Nothobranchius furzeri: one gene and its partners. The protein of the gene in region 2 purifies or fractionates together with the protein of the main gene of each other region. This does not show direct contact. Links are inferred from orthologs where the notes say so. Each region holds a gene or a part of one and is shown on either strand. Other genes may lie near its edges. The genes, in order: ssrp1a, mcm2 and tonsl.

Evidence for each region.
Region 1: the proteins of mcm2 (region 2) and ssrp1a purify together in Homo sapiens (affinity purification with mass spectrometry; 6 studies listed by BioGRID and IntAct, counting the BioPlex papers as one, with this or other methods). This does not show direct contact. The link is inferred for Nothobranchius furzeri from reciprocal best matches to the Homo sapiens genes MCM2 and SSRP1.
Region 3: the proteins of mcm2 (region 2) and tonsl purify together in Homo sapiens (affinity purification with mass spectrometry; 4 studies listed by BioGRID and IntAct, with this or other methods). This does not show direct contact. The link is inferred for Nothobranchius furzeri from reciprocal best matches to the Homo sapiens genes MCM2 and TONSL.

Annotation. Positions count from the first base shown.
Region 1 is NC_091741.1:91,652,246-91,659,248, reverse strand, and holds the start of ssrp1a (FACT complex subunit SSRP1a), read right to left. Parts: upstream 3,907-7,003; 5' UTR 3,820-3,906; intron 3,547-3,819; exon of another isoform or gene 3,440-3,546; intron 3,145-3,439; 5' UTR 3,119-3,144; coding exon 3,065-3,118; intron 1-3,064. Other genes in the region: uncharacterized protein clcf1, read left to right, coding at 5,529-5,547. UniProt on the Homo sapiens protein: Component of the FACT complex, a general chromatin factor that acts to reorganize nucleosomes. The FACT complex is involved in multiple processes that require DNA as a template such as mRNA elongation, DNA replication and DNA repair.
Region 2 is NC_091743.1:72,010,455-72,017,631, reverse strand, and holds the start of mcm2 (DNA replication licensing factor MCM2), read right to left. Parts: upstream 4,602-7,177; 5' UTR 4,506-4,601; coding exon 4,500-4,505; intron 3,309-4,499; coding exon 3,109-3,308; intron 3,038-3,108; coding exon 2,865-3,037; intron 2,772-2,864; coding exon 2,641-2,771; intron 2,575-2,640; coding exon 2,436-2,574; intron 2,353-2,435; coding exon 2,255-2,352; intron 2,180-2,254; coding exon 2,058-2,179; intron 1,970-2,057; coding exon 1,762-1,969; intron 1,678-1,761; coding exon 1,543-1,677; intron 1,433-1,542; coding exon 1,241-1,432; intron 1,160-1,240; coding exon 1,066-1,159; intron 990-1,065; coding exon 911-989; intron 732-910; coding exon 560-731; intron 455-559; coding exon 328-454; intron 99-327; coding exon 1-98. UniProt on the Homo sapiens protein: Acts as a component of the MCM2-7 complex (MCM complex) which is the replicative helicase essential for 'once per cell cycle' DNA replication initiation and elongation in eukaryotic cells.
Region 3 is NC_091758.1:29,049,470-29,056,592, forward strand, and holds the start of tonsl (tonsoku-like protein), read right to left. Parts: upstream 4,402-7,123; 5' UTR 3,965-4,401; coding exon 3,940-3,964; intron 3,862-3,939; coding exon 3,766-3,861; intron 3,554-3,765; coding exon 3,411-3,553; intron 3,327-3,410; coding exon 3,143-3,326; intron 3,062-3,142; coding exon 2,932-3,061; intron 2,835-2,931; coding exon 2,663-2,834; intron 2,595-2,662; coding exon 2,480-2,594; intron 2,398-2,479; coding exon 2,246-2,397; intron 2,161-2,245; coding exon 2,008-2,160; intron 1,806-2,007; coding exon 1,680-1,805; intron 1,585-1,679; coding exon 1,386-1,584; intron 1,139-1,385; coding exon 1,083-1,138; intron 990-1,082; coding exon 900-989; intron 726-899; coding exon 653-725; intron 571-652; coding exon 407-570; intron 1-406. UniProt on the Homo sapiens protein: Component of the MMS22L-TONSL complex, a complex that promotes homologous recombination-mediated repair of double-strand breaks (DSBs) at stalled or collapsed replication forks.

The DNA of each region.
Region 1 (7,003 bases), on a different chromosome or scaffold from region 2:
TCATTTGGACTAACTGACTTTTAAAATGACGACCTAATTAACGAGCGCCAGCTTTTAAAATGGATGGCAAGCCGTCCCTGTTTCAGTAATATCTAATCCAGAACTTGCATTTTGTGGAAGCAAAGTAAAAATCTGATTATTGCAGTAAAGACTGTCCCGGAAACACCAGATTCATTTCAGGTTTGCAGCACAGATCCCTGTTTCCGTGACCGCAGCAGCCGTTTCTGCAGCAGGTGGATGAAGACGTGATCGTAAAGAAGACAGGGTAACAACGGTTAATCAGACCTGGTTTGAGTAGTTAAGTAGAAAAACATCCTCAGTTCAATATTCTGGGCGACTATCTGTGTAAAAGCACGTTAACGCAGATGAGATGCGGTTCGTTTAACACATGATGAACACAGGCTTACAAACTTCTGAACATCTCCTGTTATTTAGTTTGAACCAACTTTTCACAACAGTTTCAGCCGATTGTCACATTTTATTAATAATAAACCACAACAGAGCTCAGTAATAAAACACGAGTCTTATTATCATGATAAGAGTCAGAAATTTCGACAACGATAAATTTTAGATTTATTGCCCAGCCCTACTCAAAACATAAAAAAACTGTTAGGGTTCTTTGGGTCCTTTCTTCAGTCTAGTAGTGGCAGCAGTCGGGCACACCTGATTTATTTATTTATTTGTTTTAATCGGCTTTTAAAAATAATTTCGGCCGATATAGAAAAAACTTGAAATTATCGGTCCGATCTATCGGTCAGCCTCTAGATGGGACAATGTTGGTTATACAGACCTGGTCTGGGTTGGATGTTGAGCAGAAAAGCATCCTCAGTAAAACATGCTGGCTTAACGAGCTTTTATCTCCGTTAATAGCTCGCTCAACAAAGTTCCCTTTAATGCCATTTGATTTTCTTTAACACATAATGAACACACAGGCTTTCAAACCTTTTGGACATCTCCTGTGTTTTAGTTTGAACAATTTTTCCTCCACAGTTTCAAAGATTTCTCTTGCTTATAAAAAAGTTTGAGTCTGAAAATGGCTGCCCTCTCTCGCTCTACGCTGCCTGTGTGCACAGCGTTCAGACCTGCTGATCAGCTGATCTGAGCGCCGCCCGACAACAGGGAGAGGAATATAATAAACCTTCAGCCTCATTTTACTGTTGTTGGCATAAAAATAATAACAATAAAAAGAAACACAAACAGGAACATTGTAACCTCCATTTACTTTGGACAGAAAATCAAAGACTGCACTAAACCGTCAAAGATGGATGATCCCTAAACCCATAACTAGAGGAATGATGGTAACCAATCACACAACGGGGACACGTGTTATATATTTTAGTAAGCCAAGTTTTAATGTAATGATGTAGGATCCTACACCCAGTAAACATTTAGTACAAATAGAAAAAGCATGTACTCTGTAGGATTTCGCCAGCATTGTCTGCATGGTTGACCCAGAATTCAGAGCAGATGTAAAATACCATCAGCTGCTAGATTTCTACACACGAGGAACTTGGATTAAAACAGATTCTTATTTAAGGTTTTTAAGGGTTTGTTTGGTAGAACGGGGTCGTTTGGGCATTTTAGGACATAATTCACTATCAGTTATAAAAACAGCAGAAACAACTTTAAAATATTTTGCTCCTTTTTAGATTCAACATCAAAGTTTAAAGCAGAACCACAAAATACTGACCTCATCTCAATTAGCATTTAATAATCATTCTGTTAAATGATGATTTACATAAAAACTGAGTTATATTCTATTTTTCATTTGACTTAAAGGCAGCTCCATCAGAACATCCCACTATACAAACATGTTTATCCTCATTTGGTCCTTCGTGTTGAGACGACGTTGGTAATTGTAAAGGTGTTACTTATAACTGCTCTTTAGAGAATGCTGTGTGGTGCACTAATCCGTGTCACAATAACATTTAATGTAAAACACTAAGATATAAATATACACACTGTTCTAGGGGTGGTGGGTATAATCTATTTTCTGATGCATCAATGTGGGCATAAATGATTCTGAATGGATTTAAAGATGTTAAAAAATAAATAATTTACATAAACGGTAATTAATGACACAATGCTGAGGGACGCAAAAGGCAGAACCTTTAGGAGCAGAGGTGCAACATCTGGACCGTTTAGGAGGAGCTCACATCACAAACGAGTTCTGCCCATGAGGGTCAGGACATCCTGGGTTTGATGATATCTGGAACTTAGCTGTAATTTAAATGTTCTGAAATTAATTTGAAGTGATTCAGACTCTTTTGAGGCTAAATGTGAATGTTTTCTATTCTGATTTTTTTGTTGGGGGGTATTTGTGTACTCTTATCAGATATCAAAATGGTTAAAAAGGCAAGTCTTCAGTTTAATTCACAATAATTCACATTATTCAAACTCCAGTTTGTATTTGTATATGAAAGCTGTGATTTCAAGATGGGAACATGAAAAGATTGATTTTGTTCCATTCGTTAAAAAATTACTGAATGTAAATTAATTTGGGGTTACGAAAACACTTTTCCATAAAAGTACCTGATGCACACCAGTCACACAGAGGAGAGGTGAGGGGAAGACATGTTTTTATTTATTTATTTCTGTATGAAACTATCTGATCAATTAAATGAAATCACAAGGGGCCTTAAAGATTATTTGCTACTAATAAGATGCTTTAATGAGGAAAAAAAAGAGTTATTGCTGATTTCTGAAGGAGTGTCTGAATCACATTTGATAGATTATGATAAAACATGACGTTACTCCTGCCCTATGACACGAGTGATGTAAACTTGTGTTGGCAGATGAAAGCATACATCACAGATACAGTGGTCAAATGAACATCCTCTTGGATCTTCTTGACTAAATTCTGATGCCATGTTGATATTCAGTTGACACCTTCAAATAGTAACAAGGGGAAAAACCTTCTGAAATTGACTTTTTTTTGTGATTTAAGGATACAAGTGTTATCAGATAACCAGGATCCTATCATGCTGTGGGTTACATACTGAACGTGCAAACACACAATCATTTAGTAGAGATGTAAAATAAAAGGCAGGGTGAAGGAACTGACCCAAGAGCCTTTGACCTCCTGGTAGATCTCGTTGAACTCCAGTGTGTCCCCCATGTCGGCTCCAGGCGATGACTGACGCTCTATACACAGGTAAACGGCATCAGTTCCAACCAAACATCAACAAGTTCATTACAAAATGAAATATTCTGTGCTGTTTTCCAAATGTTAGTCATTCTGAAGCATCGAGACGCTCAGATGATGATTTTTATCTTAATGGGACCTTCCTGGTTAAACAAAGATGAAATCTGACCTAACGTTATCTCAACGGTTACGTTTGCTTATTTTTTTTACTGTGTGCCCATTTAAAATAGTTAAAAATCTACCCAACAATATTGTAAAATACAATCTGAAGAGCAGAAATGTTTACAATCCCACCGTGACACAAGTAAAGGCTGTGTCACTCCGTTTGTCAGCACCATCAAGCATGCTCCATCACTCACAATAGCTAAGCTAGCATAGGTGCACTTGCTACGCTTCTTTTGAGTACCGATGTTTAACCGAGTCGTAATTTTGGTTGTAGGAAATGGCACGAACAACAGCACCGCCCCGCAGCAATGCAAAGTACACCGAATCGAGCGCAACAAAAAAAGAAGCTAGGCCGGTTTTGGAAAACAAGTACTATTTTATGGTCTACATAACAAAGAAATCAAATTCAGTTGAGGCGCGTGAGCAAACCTATCTTCTGTTGATTAGTTTCTCTCACAAACAAGTTTTTATCCACAGGAGAAAAGGCAGTTTTTTAAACGTAGACTTACAATCACTGAGATGTGCAGATTCGTTTCCCGCGTGTAGCATCAGGAGCTAGTGTGACGTCACAGGAAACAACAGCAGGAGTATGCGTTTCTTTCCGGTTTGCCAAAAGGTTTTTTTAAGCATTCTATATTTTTTGACTAAACACTTTCCCATTTGTATAAGATGTAAATGTGTTTGTATTAACGAGTTTTTAAAGATATATCAAACTAATAGTGGCATGATTTTACGGAGTCTGCGCAGACCAGAGAATGGTGCAGTGACCCCGATATACCACTACAGGGCGCACAATCCCTCCAAGAGCCTGAAGAGTCCTGTCGTTACTTGTGTTATAAATCTCTTGTTAGAAGAACATTAAATACTGAGCGAAGCGACGCAAATTTGGTTCATTTTTGCTTTAAAATACATTCAGATGTGCTAGCCACAATCTATAGTGTGAACAGATATTCACGTTTTCATTTTACAAGAAAAAGGCAAGAACTGGTGTTACAGTGAGGATCGGATCAGATTAACCTGCTGAGGTAGCACAGTTTGGAAACGAAGTCTGATACTTGATAGTAACTTGATTAAATAAAATAATGCAAGAGGATAATAGTTAACAAAGTACAGAAATACAATTAGAACACAGGGCCCGAAAGCCAGTCATAATAGCACCATGTCAGATGAGTGTGCTTTAGTGATCCACATAGTCTCAATTAAATATCTTGTTAAATTAAAAAAATAAATAAATAAAACAAGAGTTTTGGGTCTCCCTTCGATTAATCCTGAGGATCTGCTGTCAGTCCACATTAACAAGGCCACAATTCAAACGCATACCCCGCGTGACCTGAACAGATATGGAAAACCTGCCAGATTAAGGATTTTTTTTTCAAGAAACTGCTGCATCCTGCCAGATTATGTGAGATTGGAAAATGAGATCAATGTCGTCTGTTGTTAAACAAAAGGTTTAAACAGAAGAGTTGCTTAAAACATTTAAATGTGATTAGTGTATGCGTTTCTTATATTTTAAACACGCAATTTTAAAGAAAATGTTTTTGTTTTTTTTGCGACAAATTGGAAATGATGGATTAAACGCAGACGAAGTGTTTTCATCATTTACAGTAAATTTTAAAGCGTTCCATTAAAACGCGTCTTTCTCTCCTTTCTGAAGTTAAACGGTCCCTCTAATCCCTGTTTCCTGGAGCATTTGGATCGTGGAGTTTCTGCCCTGTCCTCCTGGCCCGAGGTGACCCGATCCGGGCCGAGGTGAGTCGATCCGGTCCGACTCGTTACCTTATTAAAGGGAAGCAGATTAAAGATCAAACGCCGCTGTCAGCTCGCGTTCGCGGAGATGAGAGACAGAAATGAGTTGTGACAAGTCCCGTGGTTCGAGCTGAGCCGTGATGCGTCAACCTGGTGAATCACCGCAGAGGAGGAGAACAGGGGAAGAAGAGGAGACAGGGATGGAAAAGAGGGGAGGAATGGGAGAAAAAGAGGAGGAGGAGGAGGTACAAAAAGAGCTCCGCCGTCATTCCGTCTGTCACACAGACCACACAAGTCAGAGGATAAATTTAAACGACGTCCTGAGGAAGGTTACTCTCAAATTTATTTTTCTTTTTTTTATTTTGAACAAAAAAGTTCGTTCATCCTGTAAAGACCGAGTCACCACATCACCTGTGTTAAAAAGTTACGAATTTCTTTTTAGTTGAGATTGGAATTAACGGTTCTGGAGACCATGAGAAGCTTTGGTAAAGGTAAGATCATGAATCTAGTTATCTTATTAAAACCTGTGGATATAAATCATTATTATTACATCTTTTAGACACGTATTGCATTAAAAGTCACAAAACAGATTATTCTTAAAAAAGCAACAAAAGACTATTTACAATAGTATTTATAGACAAAAAAGGACTTTGTCAAATTAAACGTTATTTATTTATAATGTCACTAATACTAGTAATAGTAATTATTATTAGTAGTAAACAATGTTTTTTAACAATAGAACAAAAACAATTAAAAGTGTGTGTGTGTGTGTGTGTGTGTGTGTGTGTGTGTGTGTGTGTGTGTGTGTGTGTGTGTGTGTGTGTGTGTGTGTGTGTGGTCTCACACCCTGACTAAAGTGAATAATGTACTTTCTCATATCAGTGACAGCTACCTAGACAGGAGCTTCTGACCCCATCAAATTCACACACACACACACACACACACACACACACACACACACACACACACACACACACACACACACACACACACACACACACACACACACACACACACACACACACACACACACACACACACACACACACACACACACACATTTATCTGTTCAGGTACATCCAGAAACACCCGTAACTCCTCACATGGCTCTGATGCAACACTCAGAGGGAAAACCAGCAGGGAGACGAATTAGTGTCGGTGTGTTTCAGATAAAACCTTTAGTGTGTCTTGGATCAGGGGCCGACCAATCACAGGAAACAATAGGAGGAAGGAGGAGGGGAGGAGGAAGCGGGAGGATGAAGTGAACCCTTCACTGCGTTTGATTGGCTGGAGCCATCCTCGATTCTTCATGGTGCACATGTCAGGAGGGTAGTGGTGGTTGTGTGTGTGTGTGTGTGTGTGTGTGTGTGTGTGTGTGTGTGTGTGTGTGTGTGTGTGTGTGTGTGTGTGTGTGTGTGTGTGTGTGTGTGTGTGTGTGTGTGTGTGTGTGTGTGTGTGTCAGAGGGGTATGAAAGCAAAAGGAGGTATGAACAGAGGAGGAGAGGGGGACCGGCAGCAGAGGGGTTAATGCGGTGCAGATTGACAGAAGTTAGCAGCACCCAGAGGGGAGGAGAGAGGAGAGAGGGGCTGATATAAAATGAGTCGGTCACGCTTTGAACAGTTACACATGCTGTTTACATTTTTCCCAAATTAACATGGCCCCTCGCTTCAGAAAGCTCCCCCACCTCTCCCCTCCACCTTTTCCTCTTCCTCCACCTTCTTCCCTCTGTCTCTATCCCTCAAGACTCCACAAAGTTCATCCTTCACTTTCAGATCAAGATGCCACTTTTCTTTTAAACTTCCTCTTGTGCCACGAAGTAGGCAATTTTAGAATTTTTATGTCAGAAATGTCCAACAAACAAGTTAATTATGAAAGTCTCAAATGAGTTTTTATTTAAAAAACATTATTTGGTTATAATTTTAGTTGCAAGCAGATGCTTTTTTAAA
Region 2 (7,177 bases):
TGTGTCTCGGACAACACACAACACATCAAACCGAGACACGATGGGCTCAGTCAGGTCCACGTTCTCGGCGAATGTGAGCGACGGGTCATACCTGCCACCTGAAACCGAACAAAAGACAAGTCAGGAAAACGAATCACACCCAGAAACCAAAACCAGCCGCGCTCGGCTCCACCTCCCACTGAGCTCAGGAATGAAAACAGCTGATGTGGCCAGCTCTCTGTGGGCCTGAAGGATCTGCTGTCAGGCAGCTGGTTGGTTGTTTTAAACACAATCTAATAAAATGAACGACGTTTCCACGGTTACAGACGGGTCGTGGCTCTGACGTACCGATGGGGTTTGCCGCAGCGATGACGGTGCAGCGAGCCTGCAGCGAGGTGACGATGCCAGCTTTGGAGATGGAGATGCTCTGCTGCTCCATGGCCTCGTGGATACTCGTCCTGTCAGCATCGTTCATCTGGAGGTCAAAGGCCACGAAGGGTTATGAAGTTCTCATTCAATTATCAGCGAGAGGTAATCTCATCTTCGTTCTCCCGAAGGGACCGAACGGGTCTCAACTCACCTTATCGAACTCATCGATCAGACACACGCCGCGGTCGGCCAGCACCAGCGCTCCAGCCTCCAAGGTCCACTCTCTGGTCACCGGGTGTCTCTGAACGTAGGCTGTCAGACCGACGGCGGACGCCCCCTGACCCGTGGTGAACACAGCTCGACTCGCCACCTTCTCCACATACCTGTGGAGGAAAACGCCTGATCAAACAAACCACTTCCTGCTCAGCATCACTTCCTGCTCCACCGTCCATCTTTGTTATGCTAATGTGTTTCCTGATGTTTGATCTGGATGTTGGCGAACCCTTGGAACAGAACTCGGACTGTGTGGTGATCATCTGCAGGATCGTGTTTGGTGCCTTACTTAAGGAACTGGGACTTGGCAGTTCCCGGGTCTCCGCACAGCAGCACGTTGATGTCTCCACGTACTTTATGTTTGCCGCCTGCAGGAGAATCAGACGAGCAGCATTAACGAACATCCGACCCGACGCGATCTGGATTTCAGCCGGGAGTCAGTACCTGGATTTTTGGACTCTCCTCCAAACAGAGACAGAGCCAAAGCTCTCTTTATGTCCTCGTGTCCGTAGATGGACGGCGCCATGCTAGCGAAGATCTGCACTCATCACAACAACCAGAGTCGTTTAAGAGAACCGGCGACCCTGTTGGGTTCTGATCCGACAACTGTGTGCCTCACCCTCTCTCCGATGCGTTCGTCTTTGGACAGGGCAACGATGGCCTTGATGTCTTCGTCTGTGAGTTCGGCCACGGCCACGCCCTCATCCCTGCGAGTGATGTGATTGGCCATGATCACTGTGGCGAACACCGGGAATCCATTAGTTGTGTTCAGAGAGCCGTCGTAGTTGTTGTGGTAGATTCCCGTCAGCTCCTGATGAGGAAAGCACGATGAAAATGTGCCACCAACCGAGCTAGCGGTCAGTTTTATCCCTCAGACGTTCGGGAGTATCCCGGAACTCCTGAAAGCAGATTTGAACTCACGATCTCGTCTCCGGGCTTGCAGCTGTCCACCAGGTCGGCCAGCAGGATGGCGTCTTTGGAGCGAGGGAGTCGGCCAGCCGCCACTTTTCCAGGACTTTCCTGGATGGTGATCCTCTGATAGTTCTGGTACACCGTCTGTCCAAAGGAAAAACATCCAGGTTCCTCTCAGAACGTCCAATTTAAGTGTTTTTTTGTTGTTTTTTAAATATCAGCGCTCACCTCCTCCATGTTGATCTCGAAGGGCCCCTGCGACTGACACTCCGGGCAGGATCCTGGCTTCACCTCCTGGTTCTGGGACTGGAAGAAGGGTCCGAGCACGAAGCTGCACTTGTTACAGTTGTATTTAACCATGCTGAGCTGAGGCAGGACTCCGGTACAGCTGCTCACCACGCCGCTGGTCCGGATCAACTGGTTCAGGTGGAGCTGCCTGAGGACCAGAGCAGAAGAACGTTTGTGAACAACACAGGACTTTAACAGCATCGCGGAGATGTTTAAGAGCCTGGAAGCTGCGCTACCTGAGCGATCGAATCTCCTCGACCAGCGGCAGGTTACAGATCCGGACGTGGATCTCGTGAGCGATGCGGTCGTATTTTGGATACATGGTGAGAACTACTTCTTTGGCTGCTTCATCAAAAATCTGACAAGAGAAATGTTTGGGTTCATTAGAAAAAGTCCTAATTATATTTTGACTTCCACGATGATAAAAACTCACCTTCAGCATCTCCGTTGGAGCTTCTGGGAGGAAATAGGCCAGAACGTGCTCCCTGGCAGCGAGGTCTTCGTAGTTCACCACCAGACTCTCCTTATTCTCTGAGACATCGGGACAAAAAGCAGGATTAAGGTTTTTCAACTCCTCTCCACCACCGTTCCTCCGTAGCAGAGATCTCAGCTACCTTTGCACATGTCGCTGATCTTCTCCTTAAACACGTTGTGGCCATTCTCGTCCACGTGGGTCCGAAGGAAGTTCTTGAAGCGGTTGTAGATCTCGAGCCGCGGAGCTGCCATAGACACCCACTCCCTCACCGTGTGTCCCTGAAGGACGGGAGGGGATTAAAAACCCAATGTGACGGTAGAGAGGCCTGAAAGAGCTCCACAAACCTTCATGTCTTCCAGGTTCTCGATGCTCTCGATCATCTCCTCCTCATCTCCATCTGCGATGCCCTCAGCGGCGCGCTCAGCCAGACGTCTTCGCCGGGCGGCAGGACGCTCATCGTCCTCGTCTTCGCTGTCTGAAAACAGCAACAAGGCAACACTTTCAGTGTTTTCATTCAATTGGATTAAAGCCGTTCTCCAGAAATGGGTCCGCTCATCTCCATCCTCACCATAAAGGAGTCCTCTCCTCAGACGTCCACTGAGGCCCTGCTCCCGGTCCCTCCTCCTCATCGCCTCCTCGGCAGCGGCTCGAGCTCCCGGCGACAGCTCCGACAGATCCTCGTCATCCAGATCCAAGCCCTCCATCTCGTATTGGTCCAGTGCCGGAATGGGGCGGTAATCTCTGGAAGAGTAGATCCACTTATCATTATGAAGCTTCCAAACAAGCTTCTGATCTCACAAACTGGTGTTCACCTCTCCATCCCATCTCCAATCAGATCCTCCCCGTCTGCCTCCTCCTCCTCCTCCAGACCCCCAGGCAGGGGTCCGTCCCCAAGCAGCCCCTCGGACTCATCCTCAAATGGGGGCAGGTCCCGTCCTGGGCTGGAGGTCAGGTCTCCTCTCCTGGAGGGTCGGTTGGGGCTGGTGATCACGTGGAACGACTCAGAGGAATCCTGTCAACAACAACAGTTACATCTCCAAACGGGCTGATCGGTAACCCTTGCAGGCAATTGGAGGGTGCAATCGTAATGTTAAACAAAATAAACTAAAGTGCAGAAATTTTGTTTTAACCCCCCCCCCCCCCATGTCTTAATTAGATAAAAAGAAAAAACTAAATGACCAGAACATCAAACAGCTCAAGAGCTTTTCAGTGGAGCATTTTAACGTTTACTGTATAAAACCAAACTAAGTTTAGTTTGAGTTATTGTTAGTTGTCTTAATTTGTTTTATTTTGAAAGATTACAATAACGGGTTTCTGGGTATAGAAGAACCTCTTGGTGCAATTTTAAATAATCCGAAATAACAAGGGAAATGTTTTCCCTGATGAATAATCTGCGTACAGCAGACAAGAAACAGCTCAGAGTAAAGAAGAAGAAGAAAGTATCATTTCTATAGCGCCTCTGAAGATAAAAAATGTAAAAATATAAAAAAGCATTTAGAAAATGTTTAACAATATATTTAAAATGAGCATAAATAGACAATTGTGATTAAAAAAATGTTAAGAAAGAGAGGGAGTGAATAGGAAAGAGGGAAATCAGTGGATCCTGAGGAAGGTGGAATAGGTGGGGAGAGCAGAATAAAGAGAGTGGTGAAGAAGGTCATACAAAAGCCAGCATGAACAAGTGAGTCTTCAGCTATTTTTAAAGGAGACCACTTTATTAAACAGTTGTTAAATAAAGAAAAGGCCACATGAGGACACGATCAGTCACTTCTGTGTTGTTGTAACTAAAGGAGATTTTCGGCTGATTTACGTGAGATAATCTGGACTTTCTATACGTTTAAATCTCAAAAACTCGACTTGAATGCATAAAAATCAGACAAACTGAAGCTGCCACATGGCAGCTCTCCGTTACAAACACCATAATTATTGTTTCTAATAACGTAAAACTAAATAAAACACTCGTCAGCATCGTTGTCGGTCACGATTCTGCATTAAAACATCTAAAACTAATCCTGATTTCCAAAAGAAAAGTTCGGATTCTTAAACAGTGAAAGTCTTTGTGTGCTTGTTTCCACAAACGAGATAAGTCAGCAAAAACTACAGCGATAAACTGGAGTTAATAAACGGCATCTTCTTTCGTTTAAGCAATAAAACCTAATTAAAGCCCGTTTTTGTTGTTTTTCACGGCTTTACTGTAACTCACCGCCATTGCTGAACTGAGCTGCTGCTGCTTCAGTGGACGACGCTGCTTCTTCTTCCTGCCCGGTTGTCCCTTTTCGCGCGAAATCGACCACGTGGAGCTCAAAGCCCGCGAATGAATATGAATATTCAAAGAGAATGCCGATGCTGGTCTTTCTCATTGGCTGACCAGATTTCAAGGGGCGGGTCTTCCTTTACGATTTGTTCGGTTTTGTCGCTGACTAGCAGCTGAATCTGCGGTGTCTCGGATGGTCTCGGTAGATACCACCCTTCAGCGGCCTGAGCCGCAGAGATAAACAAACAAACCCTCCTTGTGTGGTGTTCGTGACGTAGATAGTATGCGTTCAATTTCTTCAAGAGTTTCGGAAATTGGGTGGATTATTTTACAAATAACTGCTTAGTTCAGACAGACAGACAGACAGATAGACAGACAGACAGACAGACAGATGATAGATAGATAGATAGATAGATAGATAGATAGATAGATAGATAGATAGATAGATAGATAGATAGATAGATAGATAGATAGATAGATAGATAGATAGATAGATGATAGATAGATAGATAGATAGATAGATAGATAGATGATAGATAGATAGATAGATAGATAGATAGATAGATAGATAGATAGATAGATAGATAGATAGATAGATAGATAGATAGATAGATAGATAGATAGCATGTTTAATAATAATAATAATAATAATAATAATAATAAGACCACGGCTAAACTTATGAATTAATATCACTACGTTCATCACAAGAGAAATAACACTATTAGTGTTATTCATAATAATACAAAACCATCCATTGGTTATTGTTTCATTTGATTCACTTGGCATGCAGGTCATACAAAGACGAGGACCTTTTTAGAGCCATGACTAATATAATTAATGAGTTGAAACTGTTAGTTGAGTTCTGTGATATTTGGCTCTTTGAAAGGATCTCACTGAATCTGTTGTAGAACCACAACCAGGACTATTCTGTGATTTGGGCGAAGTCCTGAGATGTTTCTTATGAGTCACTGAAATGCTGCAGGACAGGAGGAGGAGGATGGATTTCTGAGCCTCCTATTGGCTGAGAAGCTTTGCAGGTAGGCTCTGATTGGCTGGGATGATGTGAGCAGAAATACTTGAGTCTTTGTTGAAAACAAGCTCCACTCAGTCTTGCAGCTGAGCAAAACCAGGTCAACAATTCGAGAACAGAGCATCAGCTGTTGCAGGACCTCAACGCTGCACCATTAATGTTTGTGTAAAAAAAAAAGCAGTCATCAATAAAGCAGGGAGAAACTCTGATTCTGTTCCACTCTGCTGCATGTTGGGGCAAAATCAGACTGCGGTCAAGTGAGCCGCACCTACAATTGAAGTGCGCGTTTACACGATAGTTTACGGCAACACCCGTCTCGCTGCTGGAGAGGAGCTGAGATGAGCGACATAATGGGCTATCAGGATGACACAGACCTGCAAAATGTACCTCTTTGATAAAGGATAGAATTGTGTTTTAAAAAAAGGACACTAAGCATCCTATACATACATACTAAGTACCTCGAGTACTATCTGGTACCAAAGTATGAACTACTTTTACTGTGTACTTTTTCAGTGATTGTACTTCAAAATGTCCAAAACGCCAAAAGTGCCGAGTTTGAGATAGGATAAAATGGCTTTTTGGAAAAAGGACACTAGGCCACCTATACACACATACTAAGTATGTCGAGTACTATCTGGTAACAAAGTATGAACTACTTTTACTGTGCACTTTGTCAGTAATTGTACTTCAAATTATGTACAAAAAGCTAAATGTGCCGTGTTTGAGATAGGATAAAATGGTATTTGGGAAATAGAACACTAGGCCACCTATACTTGCATACTAAGTACCTTTATTACTACCTGGTACTAAAGTATGAACTACTTTTACTGAGTACTTTTTAAGTAATTGTACTTCAAAATATGTCCAAAAAGCCAAAAGTGGCAAGTTTAAGATGGGATTAAATGGTATTTGGGGAAAAGGACACTAGGGCTAGGCCACCTATACATGCATACTAAGTACCTCGATTACTACCTGGTATCAACGTATGAACTACTTTTAGTACTTTTTCAGTAACTGTACTACAAGTTGTCCAAAAAAGCCAAAATTGCCGTGTTTGAGATGAGATAAAATGGTATTTGGGAAAAAGGACACTAGGTCACCTATGCATACATACTAAGTACCACGAGTGCTACCTGGTACTAAAGTATGAACTACTTTTACTGTGTACTTTTTCAGTAATTCTACTTCAAAGTATGTACAAAAAGCCAATAGTGCCGAGTTTGAGATGGGACGAAATGGTATTTGGGAAAAAGGACACTAGGCCACCTATACATGCATACTAAGTACCTCAAGTACTACCTGGTATCAAAGTATGAACTACTTTTTTCATGTACTTTTTCAGTAATTGTACTTCAAAGTACAAACAAAAAGCTAAATGTGCCGTGTTTGAGATAGGATAAAATGGTACTTGGGAAAAAGGACATTAGGCCACCTATACATGCATACCTCGAGTACTACCTGGTACCAAAGTATGAACTACTTTTACTGTGTACTTTTTCAGTAATTGTACTACAAAGTATGTCCAAAAAGCCAAAATTGCTGTGTTTGAGATAGGATAAAATGGTATTTGGGAAAAAGGACACTAGGTCACCTAAA
Region 3 (7,123 bases), on a different chromosome or scaffold from region 2:
GAAAAGTAAGACCATGAATCTTACATTTAGTGGAAAATTGTACTATTTGTCAGGCTAAATCAGACATATTTAAATGTATTTCATGAAGCGTTGTTTAATTGCATTAAAATTGAACTAGTTTAACTTTTTTTCCTCCAAGTTGCAAAAACAATAATAAAAAAATACAGTAATATTAGTCATTTAATTAAATCTTTAAATTCTTAGAATCAAATGACTTATTTGCACAGAAAATACAAACAAAATTGTGATTTCATCAAGTTTAGATGGTTTCTATGTGTAAAATGATACCTGAGTGAAATGAGGCTGACTAATAACTCTAATTTCCCTCTGGGATTAATAAAGTATCTTTGATTTGATTTACAAAAGTAAATATTTGTAATGCAACCTCTACAGAAATCCAACCAACCTTGGAGTTGCGGAGTGTGACAGAAGCTCCTCGTTCCACCAGCAGTCGTGCAACTTTTAAATTCCCACAAGCGAGGGCGTCGTGCAGAGGAGTCACTCCCTCACAGAGGGGCCCGCCGGGATCGTTGATGTTGGCGCCACGCTCCAGTAGCAAGGCCACCACATCTGGATGACAGCGGAGATACAGAATGTAAGTGAAAACATCTGGACTGGACTGATTTCTAACAACAGAACAGAGCTCGGTTACCATAGTGACCATGGTTGCAGGCCTCGTGGAGGGGAGTCCAGCCACAGTAGTCCCTGGGATTTACTGGGTGACCCTGACACACACACACACACACACACACACACACACACACACACACACACACACACACACACACACACACACACACACACACACACACACACACACACACACACACACACACACACACTTTTATTTTCATGAAGCTCACTCATGATAAAAGATTCACAGTTCAACGGTTTTTCACCTGCTCTACCAGACACTGGACTTGCTTCAGGTTTCCGTCGATACACGCTCTGTGGAGAGACGTCTCTCCCTTCTCGTTCCTCTTATTCCACTAAATCGAACACACGAGTGCAAAAAAGGCAAAAAGTTTAACGTCTGAATTAAGGAAACCAAAGATAATTTAACTGATAATGAATTAACTCACCCTCCCTGTCTTTCTTCTTCCTGACACCATTTTGTCGTAACCCTCTAAATCATCATCTGAAAGGCAAATAAATATAAATATCACAAGTTCAGCCCCCTGTAGGGAGGCAGATGAATCTTAGGTGTGTTCTTGCTGTGCGTTATTTCTAATTCCATGTTCTAATTCCAAGTCTTCCTTCTCCTTTATCAGCGTCAGCCTGAAGAAGCCGGCAGCCGTCGGCGAAACTGTAGCGTCAGTAACAGGTAACAAAACCGTTTCTGTGTTTTAAAAAAGAACGACAACAAGGCAGATGAATCTGTCTACCTGAGTCTGAGAGAACGACATCGCTGTCCTCCAGAGTTTCGGTGTTGTCCGTCTCCTCCTCCTCATCCTCCTCCCCATCACTCTCCTCTGGATCACAGCCCTTTGAGGCACAAAGCTCTTGCAGCTTCGCCGCCGTGTCATCTGCTTCCGATGAGCCGCTCCGTCTTTGGAAGGCCAGCCAGAGTCTCAGCGTGCGTTTCTGTGGGACGTAAGATGAACTTTTACATAGACCTGTAGTAAAGCTGTGATAAAAATGCTGCTTCTATTTAAATACTTTATGTCACATTTCCTCACCTGCAGTCGGACCTCCCCGGACGCCTCTGCACAGCGTGAAGCTGATCTGTAGCTGCCTTCTATGTCCTCAGATATGCAGCCACTCTCCTCCTGAGCTGCTGCGATGTTCAGCCATGTGCTACACTCCTGACGCACACACACACACACACACCAGTAGTTATGCGCATGCATTAGCTGTTGGTTAAAACAAGCTCTGTGATTTAATAAGAGTAGATTTTTAACAACCATGCCTGCAAATATGTTAGTTAATTCAGTCCAACAGAGGAAATCTGTCGTTTCTTCCACAGTAATAAGTTATCTATCTTGGTGTTATGGGGTGAAGGTGCACCTCTGTAGAGCTGCCCTGTCGTAAAGCCAGCTCCTTCCTGTAGTGCTCCACGGCCTTGTCGTGTTGTCTCAGGTCTGTGCAGGTAGCAGCCAGGGACACGTGGATCACAGCCAGCTCCCGCGCCGGTTTCGCCATCATCTCAGCACCTTTCAGCTAATTCACAGGAGAAATTACAATCCAGCTAATTTCAAGAGCTAAAGTTAAAATGGAGCATTTTGTTTTCTCTTAGGTGTCTCACCTGAGCCTGGTAAGCCTCCAGAGCTTTGCTGTAGCAGCCAACCTTACAGTAAAGATCCCCTAGCTGCTCCGACAGCTCCACAGCCCGATGGGAGCAGAAACTCTTCTCCTGATCTTCCCCCAGCTCTTCCTCTAACCTACAGCCTCGATCAGCTACGGTATTACACACACGTCATGTTGTTAATGCATCTGTGAGGAAATACGATCAAAAACCAACAAACAAAAACCCTCTCACCATATTTAAAAGCTTTCTTCACTGCCTGCTTGTCTGCTGGTTGTTGAGAACCCAACAGTAGAGCCTTCTTTAGAGATCGTCTGGCAGCTACAAAATCCCCCAGAGACAGCTGCACCTGGATGTGAGTCTGAGTCATCAGAGCCTGTGAAAATGCAGTGACGAACAGTAGAAGGGTACTCCTACCTTGCCAATGCAGTGAAAGCATTCACTCTCAGCAAACTTGTCTTTCATCTTCCGGGAACACTCTTTGGCCTGCTCCAAACAGCGGACAGAGTTGGAGTGTTGGCCGTTGCGGAAGTAGATGTTGCCCAAGTTAAAGTTGGCCCGGTAGAGATCCTCTAGCAGCTGGCTCCTCCTGTTCCAAGACGAAATCATAAGACTTTGTGCAGGGCAAATGAATTAAAGCGTATTATGACCACGATTAGGAGATCGTTTTGAGATGTTCTTCTTACTCTGCAATGAAGACGCTACGTCGGATGAACTCGCTGCAGCGTTTGGGCTCCCCTAGATGATCGCACACCAGACCAAGGTTGAGGAAAAGCCGAGCCTTCATCTCACTGATCTCTCGCTCGGACACCATCCCTAAACGTTGAAAGAACCTTCATACGTAACCACCTAACCAGAGCGCGATTATTCCAAGTTACCCAAACAATCGATACACACCACCTAGACGCTCATCCACAATGGCCAAGCTCTTCCTGAAAGCATCTTCTGCCAGCTTTAAACTGTTCTTCGATTGGTCAGATTCATAACAGAACAGGTAGGTACGACCAATGGTAGCCAGAGCTCTTTGCTCTTCAGCATGATCTCTGACAGAGCGAGCCAGGTCCAGGTGATGATGCTGATGCTGGAAACCAAAAAAAAAAAAAAAAGCAAGACACTCCTTTTAGGTATGCATTAAAAAAACATTTTTGCATTCAAGTCTGCTTACTTTCAAAGCAGCCTCGATGTTTCCCATCTCTGCATAGCACTCTCCTATCTTCCGATGGGCCACAGCGCGTCCGATCACATCTTTTAGAGCCTCAGAGAGAGCTAGCTCCTGTTGATGTTCCCTGATGGCTGCCTTGTAGTCACCTGAGGTATGCACAGATCAAACACAACAACCTTTATATGCATCAGCACAAATAGGGAGCAAATTTAATTGATAAATAATAAAATCTAAGGCTGCAAAGGCGCAGAGAATATGCAACAGAAAGTGTGTGGGAGAGAGTGTCACATAAAGATGTAAAGCGATGGTAGCACATTTGTGATAATAATAAAAAATATAAAACTGTGGAGGTTCATACCAGTCCTGGACAACAGCTCTCCTAGCTGGTTGCAGATGTTGGCTTCCTCCTTTAAGTGATTGCTGGTCTGGGCTTTGCTTTTTGCCTTCAGCAGCTCTGCAGAGAAGAGCAGTCAAAACAACCATCTTAGCCTTTTGGAACCAACAGATCAGCTGTAAATAGAGCAACACTTACGTTTGATTTCTCGTGAAGAGCTCATATTGGTTTAACTGACAGCTGGTAGTGAATGACAAACAGCGCGCTAAACGTTAGCTTAGCTCTGCCTGTTGGCGGTTAACAGGACATTTGCCTCATAACTGTTTAGCAACGTCATACGTTTGCCTACGTTTAGAATTAGCCTCAGATTCTGACTGTATGCAATAAGAAAACATTCACATGTATCAATCATCTGCGTAAACACTCATGTTTAGCTTCGCGTTTACAAGTTTCTGGTTTCGCATTGCCCCGCCAGGAAAACGTCACTCAATGAAGCGATAATATTTATCTGCCCGCTGTAATGTCTGTCAGGCATAAACTCCAGGTTCAAACTATGAGAACGCCGGTCAACAATCAAAGTACGCCCCTTCAACTCAATAGTCTGATATTATTTAACAATTGTAAAAATATAATTGATTTTTTCTCCCTGCAATTAGGCTTTTAACCGCCTGACAGTTATTACGTAGGGCTACAAAGCAAAATAAGAATGGGTGTTGCTCAGTGGCAGTGTCTGTGGTGATGAAGGGCGGTTGGGGAGTGACTGACCTCCAGTGTCTGAAATTAGATACTGCAATTTTGACCTTTTCATCTATTTAGAACAGAATATTTTCACCTCCTTGTTTTAATTAAGCTTTTAAAAACTGTATTTCTTTTCATCCTCTTGGGAATATGAATATTAAGCAGGAGAATGATGAATCGTAGAAAGAGACGAGGAAACTGGATTTATAAATTTGCAAAAGTTAGAAATACTTTTTCTAAATTCTTTAAATTTTTAATTTTGGTGTTGGCAACAGGGAAACTCATTATAAAAGTGATTTCATTTTAGTAGCTAAAAACACAATAAAAATGACCATTCCAGCTTTCAAAACCCACGGTTGTGTTGCACCCGGGTTCCTCAAGGGCCACTATTCTAGCCTGGATGCTGATTGGCTCGGTTGGAATTCTCACGGGGTGGGGTTATTTGAATAGGAGAGTTCCCAGACCCTTTCTCTGTACAGAGGAGTCTGGCAGGCCAGGCTACCGCCATTCAGCATGTGTTGTTGCCTAGAAAGAACGGGGATTTCGCGCCCTCTCCTGGCCAATGCTAGAACAATTCTCTGGAAGTTATGATGGGGAGTTGCTCCCCCGCGTCTGAAATTGCACGTTTTATATTTTCATTCGTTTAGAACTCAATATTTTAGTCTACTTATTATAATGAAGCTTTAAAAAACTATATTTTCGTCCTCCTGAGAAAATTAATATTAAAAATGAGAAGAGGAAACTGGATTTATAAAGTTGCAAGTGAATCACCAAAGGACCCAATTTTTGTGGTAAATAAATGACCCGCGCTTGTGTAGCGCCTTTCAGAGTAAGGACTCCAAAGCGCTTTACACCACAATGTATCATTCATCCATTCACACACACATTCACACACTGATGGTGATGAGCTACGATGTAGCCACAGCTGCCTTGGGGCACACTGATAGAGGCGAGGCTGCCGAGCACAGGCGCCACCGGTCCCTCTGAACACCACCAGCAGGCAAGATGGGTTAAGTGTCTTGCCCAAGGACACAACAGCAGAATTCCCTGTCCGGAGCCGGGATCGAACCTGCAACCTTCCGATTACTGGACAACTGACTTCTACCACGGCGACAGGTGGGGACCTATTCTTGTTATGATGTTGACTATGCAACAGCGTGATAAACATCCTGCAAGCATATCAGTCTTTCTTCGACAATACAAGGAAATACAAGGTTTAAGTTGTGTGTCAAGGAAAATAGATAAAAATAATAACCCCAGCTTCTGAGTGGAGCTCATACCGGAATACCAATATTTGGAAAAGAGCCGGTAGTCTTATCGATAATCCAAACTGAGGGACAGTTTTCTGAAGGGTCGGGTGTGTTTCTGAGGTCATCTGGTATGAAATCTTTGCTCATCTGAACCTAGAAATCAACTCTGCCCTCAGATACAATGATAATTGAACGTTTCCAGGGAGTAGTTGCTTTCTGATTGTTGAGAAAGATCACACAATAAATGTCATACCAGAATGTTTATTTTGTAGCACGAGTATCAACTCAGTCCACTGACTATAAGTTCATAAAACACTAAAACGATTTTTTTATCTATCGTGTCAATTTGGACCTTCAAGAACTCAGCTCACTGCGATCCCTCTGAATAACAATTACGTGATTATTTAAATTGATTTGTATTTACAGTTTTTACAATTAGAATCCTGTTTGTGAAGGTGAGAGAAACAGAGAGATGTCCCAAATTACCAGCTGACATCTGCAATTTCTGTTTTGGGTTTAACTTCTAATGACACAACTTGTACATACCATGCACATATTATACATCCCCCTCTTCAGCTACTTCTCCTCTCACTTAATGTCAAAATATGTCAGATCCGATTGATAGTTTTTGAGGTATTTTTGTATGTTTGCCGCAACTGGGGAAGAACTAGAAAATGTCTCTGTGTAGTAGACGTCTGTATCTCAGGGAGAATGTGATTCAGCTGCAAAATAAATGACTTTTTCAACAGCCTAAATTAAAGGTGCAATATGTAAGAATCAGTGGTGGCTCGTCCATAGCGGGGCGCTAGAGCATCGCCTCACTAGTTTCCCTGGAAGAAGAAGAAGATAGGAATCAGAGAATATATATAAAAAACTCGAAAATTAAACTAAACAATCTATACATCACACAAACCAAACGTGCTGTGTTTAGTCTGCATTTAGTGCATTTTCAAAATGTGACTTCACACTTTTTCCATGATCAAATCATCTTGTGACAAATTTCCTGTTCCTTTTTTTATTATGAAGAACCAGGAAATGATGGAATGTGGTATGTAAACACTGTCCAGCGGGTAAAAAAAAATAAAAAAGCACAAGACAGACAGGAATGTTGGGACGTTGGATTACACAAACCAAGTGTTATTTCTTTTAAACCAAAACACAGATTATTATGACCAAAAAGCAACAAAGGTAGGACTGAATTTATGCTTTGACTTCATGAAATTAGCTCTTTGTATTGCTGCTGAGTTCCTTGAGTTTTGCAGGTGGAGTGGAGCCTATCTCCAGCAGTTAACGGGCAAGTAGGCGGGTACACCCTGGACAGAGAGCCAGTCCATCGCAGGGCGGCATCATTAATGATGTAGAAGATGTGGATTCTATCATAAGAATGGTAATTT